Cricetulus griseus: one gene and its partner. The protein of the gene in region 1 interacts with the protein of each later gene in a biochemical or structural test. Links are inferred from orthologs where the notes say so. Each region holds a gene or a part of one and is shown on either strand. Other genes may lie near its edges.

Region 1 (3,824 bases):
ATTTTTTGTTTGTATATTTACTTAGTTTTGTAGATGTGGATATGTGTGGGCACACATGCTATGGCACACTTATAGAAGTCAGAGGGGAGCTTGTGGGACTAAGTTCTCTCCTTCTTCCATGTGGGATCCATGTGCTGAAGGCAAGGTCATCAAGCTTGATAGCAAGTGCTTTTACTAACTGAGTCATCTTGCTGGCCCCTACATACTTACTATACATTGTGTGCACACATATGCTTCATCTTTGTTTTGCTGACACCATGATACTTAGCAAGCATATCCTACCTAACCACAATACTATTTCCATATCTAAGAAAATTAAATGCCTATAGATACCTTCACACTCCTAGTTTCAAAACTACCTTTATAGCCCAATTCACATCAATCCCATATCTAATCAAGGTTCTCACATTGTATTAATTATCTCATCTCTTTAGATTATTTTAATCTAAAAGAGTTCCCTCATCTGAGGAAACCTAGCTAGTTATCTTCTAAAATGTCTTGCATTTTGGACTTGGTTCATTGTTTCCTTGTGGTGTCATCTAACTTTTTTTTCCTATCTTGGTTCAGTTATCACACAGATGGAAATATTTCCCCTTTTCCACATTTAAAACATAAAAGAACAAAGACAGGAAAGGAAGGAGGCAGAAGGCAAGAGAGGCAGCCTGTAATTATAATGCTCACCTCCCCTCTTTGGTGTTTTTGTTTGTTTCTTGAGACAGGGTTTCACTATGTAGTCTTGGCTGTACTGGAACTTGCTCTGGAGACCAGGCTGGCCTCGAACTCACAGAGATCCAAATGTCTCTGCCTCCTGAGTGCTGGGATTAAAGGCATGTGCCACCACTGCCCATCCCTCTTTTGTGAAATGGTCTCAAGCAGCCCAAACTGGTCCTGAACTCATTATGTAGCTTAGCATGGCCTTGAACTCCTGAACTCCTCTTGCCTCTGCCTCCCAAGTACAGGGATTACAGGTGTGCACTACCTTGCTCAGGCTTCTCGTTTTCGACAGATGCATTAACAGTTGTTAAATTACCTGCATTATTCTTTGTGGGATTTATTTCTTTCTTTTGGTGCTAGAAATGGAATCCAGGTCCTCAAACATACTAGGCAAGCACTCTTGCCACTCTTACCCCAGCCCCCTTATTCTTTTTTTGATCCAAACTGTCCCCAAATTTTGCCAATGCAAACTCCTTCAAGCTGATTCTTTTGACCTGACATAACCTCTTCAGTCTTTGAGTACTTTCTGTAGGCATCTCTAGTTTTGTTTTTTAATTAATTTTAAGTGCATTGGTGTGAAGGTATCAGATCCTCTGGAACTGGAATTACATACAGCTGTGAGCTGCCATCTCAGTGCTGGGAATCGAACCTGGGTCCTATGGAACAGCAGTCAATACTCTTAACCACTGAGCCATCTCTCTAGCCCTAGCATCTCTGTTTTTTTAAGACTTGTTTGTATGGCATTTATTTCCTGAAATTCCCATAACATTTGCTCACTGGTTTTAGTTCTACTTTTTCCAGCAACAAAACATTTTACTACTTCCATGTGAATTTCACGTTGTATTATTTAAAGACAGATTGGTTGAAGCAATTCTGTAAGACTTCTTTACTAGTATTATACAAATACATAAACCCTTGATTCATATTACTGACCTCAGCACTAACCCTTACACTTTAGGAATCCACTAGACTAATTGCTCAGTTCCATTCCTGAAAGTTGATGAGAGTTAACCTAATTTCCAAGATTTCATTTGAAAGTTCCTATATCAAAACATTTTCTGAGGTAGACTCAAGCACTGGATTAAGTCCTTGCCACTACTACAATAACTAAGAAAAGGATATGAAATATTGTGCTAACACTTAATAGCTCAATTACACAAAGCATTACTGATTAAAATTATCCTAACAGTCCTCCAATGCTTTTTTCATGCACAATTTTGGAGTTCATTATAATTTATTTATACAAAAAGAACACACATACAGATGTGCCCGGTCTGTAGGTAAACCTAATTAGCATTCCATATTGCTAGTCGTACCAGCTTAGAGCCTTGAGCAAACAATGTCCCTACTCCCAACAGAGAGTACTTTGGTCTCCAGAGTCAGTATGCCCATAGGAAAATACAGGCAAGCAGCAGCCCTTCAGCAGGGCACAGGGATTCTAGTTCCTCTCTCATGCATATTACTTCAATATCTGAAACTTACTGGTGGTATTCACTTACTAGGGAAAATTATAATTTTTCATGAGAAGTTAATTATATGAAAACAGAAATAGTGACTTTATATTTCTTACTTCTTTTTCAGTACAGCCAAACAATTGTACTGCAACAGTACAGAGGCAAAATAGTAATAAAATGAAAACTAAAATAATACAGAAATGTGTACTAACAACACAAACAGAAAAAAAGTGAGTTATACAGGGCTTCTTGGGTATTGGGAAAGAAACAAAACAAAAGAGGAAGATAAGGCAAGATAGAAGAAGAGAGTCAATCAAGAAATAACCACAAAAGTACCCCAGTCATCCAGAAAATACCTTTGTTCAGGAGAAGAAAATAGTCAGATGCCTTTTCTCGGAAAACCCGTTGAGCATCTTCCGCTTTCATTGACATTTCCTTTGTCTGCACTAGGAAAAACCCCTTACCAACCATCTGTGGAGAATAAAATTTCATTCAGATTTTAGAATGAACTTCTGGGATGAAAACATGGTTTTGTTATTTGAGCATTTTCCTGTATACAATGCAACACAGCATTCTAATTTTTGTTTTAGTTCTGAGTAATTCAGACTCTTCTGTCACTTCTTTACAACTATTTAATGTTAGTTTAATTTGATGATACAGCAAATGTTCAATGAAAAATACCATAGTTCATTACAATCAACATTATTTGTTAAATATAATAAAGATGTTAAAATAAAATGGAAAAATACTACCTCATGTTAATTTTAAAAGTCATCACATCAATTTATGTAGTATTGTGCAAGAATGATAGACCACACATATGGGAGCACTTACTATGTACATGAAGTTTTCTGAACACTATACATATATATTATATGTGTATATATATTATATATATATATATATATATATATATATATATACACACACACACATAATACATTTAACCTGTAATGAGATGAGTACCACCACCATCTTCCTTAAATAGATGAGACAACTAAGATGTCACATGGTTAAGAACTTCCCAAAGGTCATATAACTATTAGACAACAGAGCTCTGATTTTAATTCAAGTTATTGTGATGATGAATTAAAGAATTTTTTTTAGGCTGGGTAGTGGTGGCCTACACTTTTAGTCTCAGCACTCAGGAGGCAGAGGCAGGGGGATCTCTGTGAGTTCCAAGACAGCCTGGCCTACACAGAGAAACCATGACTCAAAAAAAACCCCACAAATGAGAATTCTTTTTTTTAAATCAGTTACCTACATATTTTTACAAATTTGTATTTACTTGATTGCCAACATCTTCCAGTTTATTCTATAAAATCAGTGGTAACGCTCATAATACTTCATGCTATGGTTATATTACTATCACACCATCAAATTGAATGAAATTCAAATCCTTTATCAGGACTCTTACTGTGGCCTTACTGCTAGATGTTAACTATAAAGTCTTAAAGTATCAGAATGAATCTTACCACTGTTTCTAATTTTATATACTATTCTTCACCCATCATTTTATAGTCAGATATATAAACTAAAAAAAAATATGCTTAAATGGCCAAGCATGTTGACTCATGCCTATAATGCTAGCCCTCAGGAGGTGAAGGCAGGAGTATCAAGAATGAAGACCATCTTCGGCTACATACCCAGCTCAAG
Region 2 (3,824 bases), on another chromosome or scaffold:
AGTGATGAAAGTTTTTTTTAACTTAACCAAATTTAATATATAAGATATGAGCAAATGGGATCTGGAGAGATGTCTCATAGGTTAAGAGTGATGTCTGCTCTTCCAGAGGACCTGGGTTCAATTCCCAGCAACCACATGGTGGCTCACAGCCATCTATAGTGGGATCGATGCCCTCTACTGGCATACAGGCAGAAAAAAATATCTATCTATATATACATATATAGATATAGATATAGATAGATATATAGATATAGATATGCAAATAGGACTTTGCCATACCCCAAATCTGGGATTTTTCGCAGACCTTGTAGAAAGGTACTCACAAACACTACACTACTTTTTTACTCACAAAAACTTTCTTTTTTTCTCTTTTTTGTGAATATCTTTTCTTTTTTTATTCTTTAATTACTACTCATATTTACATATCCTCCCCCTTCTTTTTTTTCTTTTAACTTCTTTTTTTTTTTTTTTTAATTTATTTATTACGTAGAGTGTTCTGCATGCATGTACGCCTGCACTCCAGGAGAGGGCACCAGATCTCATAACAGATGGTTGTGAGCCACCTTGTGGGTTGCTGGGAATTGAACTCAAGACCTCTGGAAGAAGAGACAGTGATCTTAACCTCTGAGCCATCTCTCCAGCCCTACAATTAGCTTTTCTATTTACATTTTTCAATACTTAACTGACCAAGAGTAACTTTGGCAAATTCAGAAGAATAAGAAGAAACATTCAAGCCAAAACTAAGCTACTCATTTTCAAGCCAGGAAGCAAGGTCAACTTTGAACACAAGCATGGCTTCAACAGTAGGGTACATGTTAACATGGCTAGATATATACATACATACATACATACATACATACATACATACATACATACATACATGGTTTGTATACATAGTCTGGACCATTGAGGCCAGAGTGAGGGGATCACCAGGAGCAGCAGGGGGAAGGGAGTCCCTAGAGAGGCATGTTTGGATCTTAGTGCAGAAATTTTGGCCTGTTTCCAAAGGCAGAAGTTCCCATGTTTTTGTTCATTTTTCTTGGAAAGTGGGCTGAGGAGTCTCTAGACTCCTGGAGACAGCACAGCTTCCTTCCATGCCCCAATGATTTTCTGGGTCATCACTGCAGTGAGCCGGTGCTGTACCTGAGCTTGGGGCAGGGGTGCCCTGGGAGTTAGCTGCCTCTTGAGCTCTCTACTTCCTTTTTGTCTTTTTGTCTTTGTTTCTGGAGACAGGGTCTTGTATCCTTGGCTGTCCTGGAACTCACTCTGGAGACCAGGCTGACCTCAAACTCACAGAGATCCATCTTCCTCTGCCTCCTAAGGCTGGGATCACAGGTGTATGCCACCATGCCCAAAGCTTTCCAGTTTTTGTTTTTGTCTTTTTGAATGCTGGATGTTTAAAGCAGCTAAAATGTAAGCTTAGAGGGAGACAGTCAGAGTCTGTCCATTAGGTACTCGTATCTACTCACTTAAAATTACTGGAGATAGCCGGGCATTGGTGGCGCAGGCCTTTAATCCCAGCACTCGGGAGGCAGGGGCAGGCAGATCTCTGTGAGTTTGAGACCAGCCTGGTCTACAAGAGCTAGTTCCAGGACAGCCTCCAAAGCCACAGAGAAACCCTGTCTCGGAAAAAAAAAAAAAAAAAAATTCCTGGAGATGGGGAGAGTTGGTGGCGCAGGCCTTTAATCCCAGAACTCGGGAGGCAGAGGCAGGCAGATCTCTGTGAGTTCCAGGTTAGGCTTCAAAGCAATATGGAGAAACCCTGTCTTGAAAAAAGAAAGAAAGAAAGAAAGAAAGAAAGAAAGAAAGAAAGAAAGAAAGAAAGAAAGGAAGGAAGGAAGGAAGGAAGGAAGAAATTCCGAGAGACAGAATTAGCATACAGTTTAGAGTTCTGCCTGTGGCCTGGGGGACCAGTAAAGTCATGGTCCCTTCTGGTTCTTTCAGGATGTGAGTTTGATGAATGTGGATGCATGGGTCATTTGGAGATTGAGACTAATAGACACAATTATCTCTAGCTGTCATTTCATTTCTACGCATACATGCATGTGCACACATGCACTAAGTTATTTGTGGGGGTGTGGTCTAGCCCAGTGAGTGTCACTTGCTTAGCATGTATAATGTCCTTGGTTCAACCCCCAGCACCTGAGGAACAATGAAAAAGATATTCTCGAGGGATAAGCTTGGATAAGTCTGAAATTGCTAGCCACCGTCTATATCTTCCTTAAATAGTGGTTCTCAGGGAGTTTCTCAGTGTGGCCTGAGTCACTTAGAACAGAGCCACCTGGGGAGCCTGTTACTAGTGCTTCCTCGATGCTGACTCTGACTTTCTGTAGCTGTCAGCATCCCTAATTTGAGCCCAGAAACTGCCTAGGGAATCTTACAGAGGTGCAGCCCGCAGGTCTCTGCCTTGAAAGCTGCTGATGATCAACTTAACTACATAATGGGTTGTAATTCCAAAAGCGTGCTTAAATGTCACAGTTCTCAATCTTCTCTCGTCTTTCCTTCCCCCAAAAATGGTCCAGGAACTAACGGAACTGCTGGAGGAAGAAAAGCTGAGTTGTGTGCCCGTGCTCATCTTTGCTAACAAGCAGGACCTGCTCACAGCAGCCCCTGCCTCTGAGATTGCCGAAGGGCTCAACCTGCACACCATCCGGGACCGAGTCTGGCAGATCCAGTCCTGCTCAGCTCTCACAGGCGAGGGTGTCCAGGTGAGGCCTTGGCAAGGGTCTGTTCTCGGTCAACGTGGCAACTCACTAAGGCAGTGTGCCTCACTGGTAGGGTTGAACTAGACCAATGGTTCTCAATCTTTGGGTCCCTTTCAAAGGGGTTACCCAAGACCATCAGAAAGAAAAAGAACAAAAACAAAAAAAACAGATATTTACATTATGATTCATAACAGTAGCAAAATTATAGCTATGAAGTAGCAACAAATTATTTTACAGTTGGGGGTCACCACAGCTTGAGGAACTGTATCAAAGGGTCGCAGCATTAGGAAGGGTGAGAACCACTAATCTAGAAGCAAATGGCCTTTGATTGGCAGATGAAGGACTGTAGAAGGTGAAGGGCACAGAAGGAGGTTGATTCTTTACTGCTTAGAAACCAACCAGATCCCATGAATGTTCCAAGGAAGGAATAGCCCAGCCCCTTCAGCACACTCCGCTCACTTGGAGGAGGGCTCAAGAGGTGACTTGGAGATTGTTCTAACTGTGGAATTGTTTGACGATTGTGTTGGCGTTCTATGTTAGGTCTAATATTATGGATGCTAAAAGCCTGTACTCCCAAGGTGATTGTCATCGCCACCATACAAATGCTAGTTAGCCTCGAAATACCTGTTTCTTCTCTTAGTTCTCTCCCTGCCCTTGAGCTTGGTGTCTGTTCCCAGCTACTGGTATTGATTTCCCACTGGGAGGCTTTATGCTGAGGAACTGACTGAACATCCCTTTGTTTAATATTAATTTGGGACAGAACACAGCCCTGTCCCAGGCATCCAAGAGGCTTTATTCTCAAAAGAAGCCACACACTTCCTGAGAACTGAGGTGCTTCCTACCAAGCTTCCTCAGCTCAGGGACACTCCGTAGTCAGTCAGCCCTTCCAGATGACCCAGAATCCTCCACATTCCTCATTTGAAGCATCCAGTGTATCTGCCAGGAAGTGAAACGGTGCTGTGAGCACATACGGTATGTCAATAATGGCATGACAGCTTGCTTTTCTCTCAACTTGGCGTGTTGGGTTTCAGACCTGAGGTTTGAGCCTCGACCACTGCCCTGCATGGCCTCTTCCATTTGCTTGTCTCTTCTAAGGTCCCCTCACCTCAGACGTGGGAC

Evidence for each region.
Region 2: the proteins of Rp2 (region 1) and Arl3 form a complex in vitro, tested with the Homo sapiens proteins (2 studies listed by BioGRID). The link is inferred for Cricetulus griseus from reciprocal best matches to the Homo sapiens genes RP2 and ARL3.

Annotation. Positions count from the first base shown.
Region 1 is NC_048604.1:125,172,797-125,176,620, reverse strand, and holds part of Rp2 (protein XRP2), read right to left. Parts: intron 2,640-3,824; coding exon 2,525-2,639; intron 1-2,524. UniProt on the Homo sapiens protein: Acts as a GTPase-activating protein (GAP) involved in trafficking between the Golgi and the ciliary membrane.
Region 2 is NC_048596.1:15,033,825-15,037,648, forward strand, and holds part of Arl3 (ADP-ribosylation factor-like protein 3), read left to right. Parts: intron 1-2,522; coding exon 2,523-2,708; intron 2,709-3,824. UniProt on the Homo sapiens protein: Small GTP-binding protein which cycles between an inactive GDP-bound and an active GTP-bound form, and the rate of cycling is regulated by guanine nucleotide exchange factors (GEF) and GTPase-activating proteins (GAP).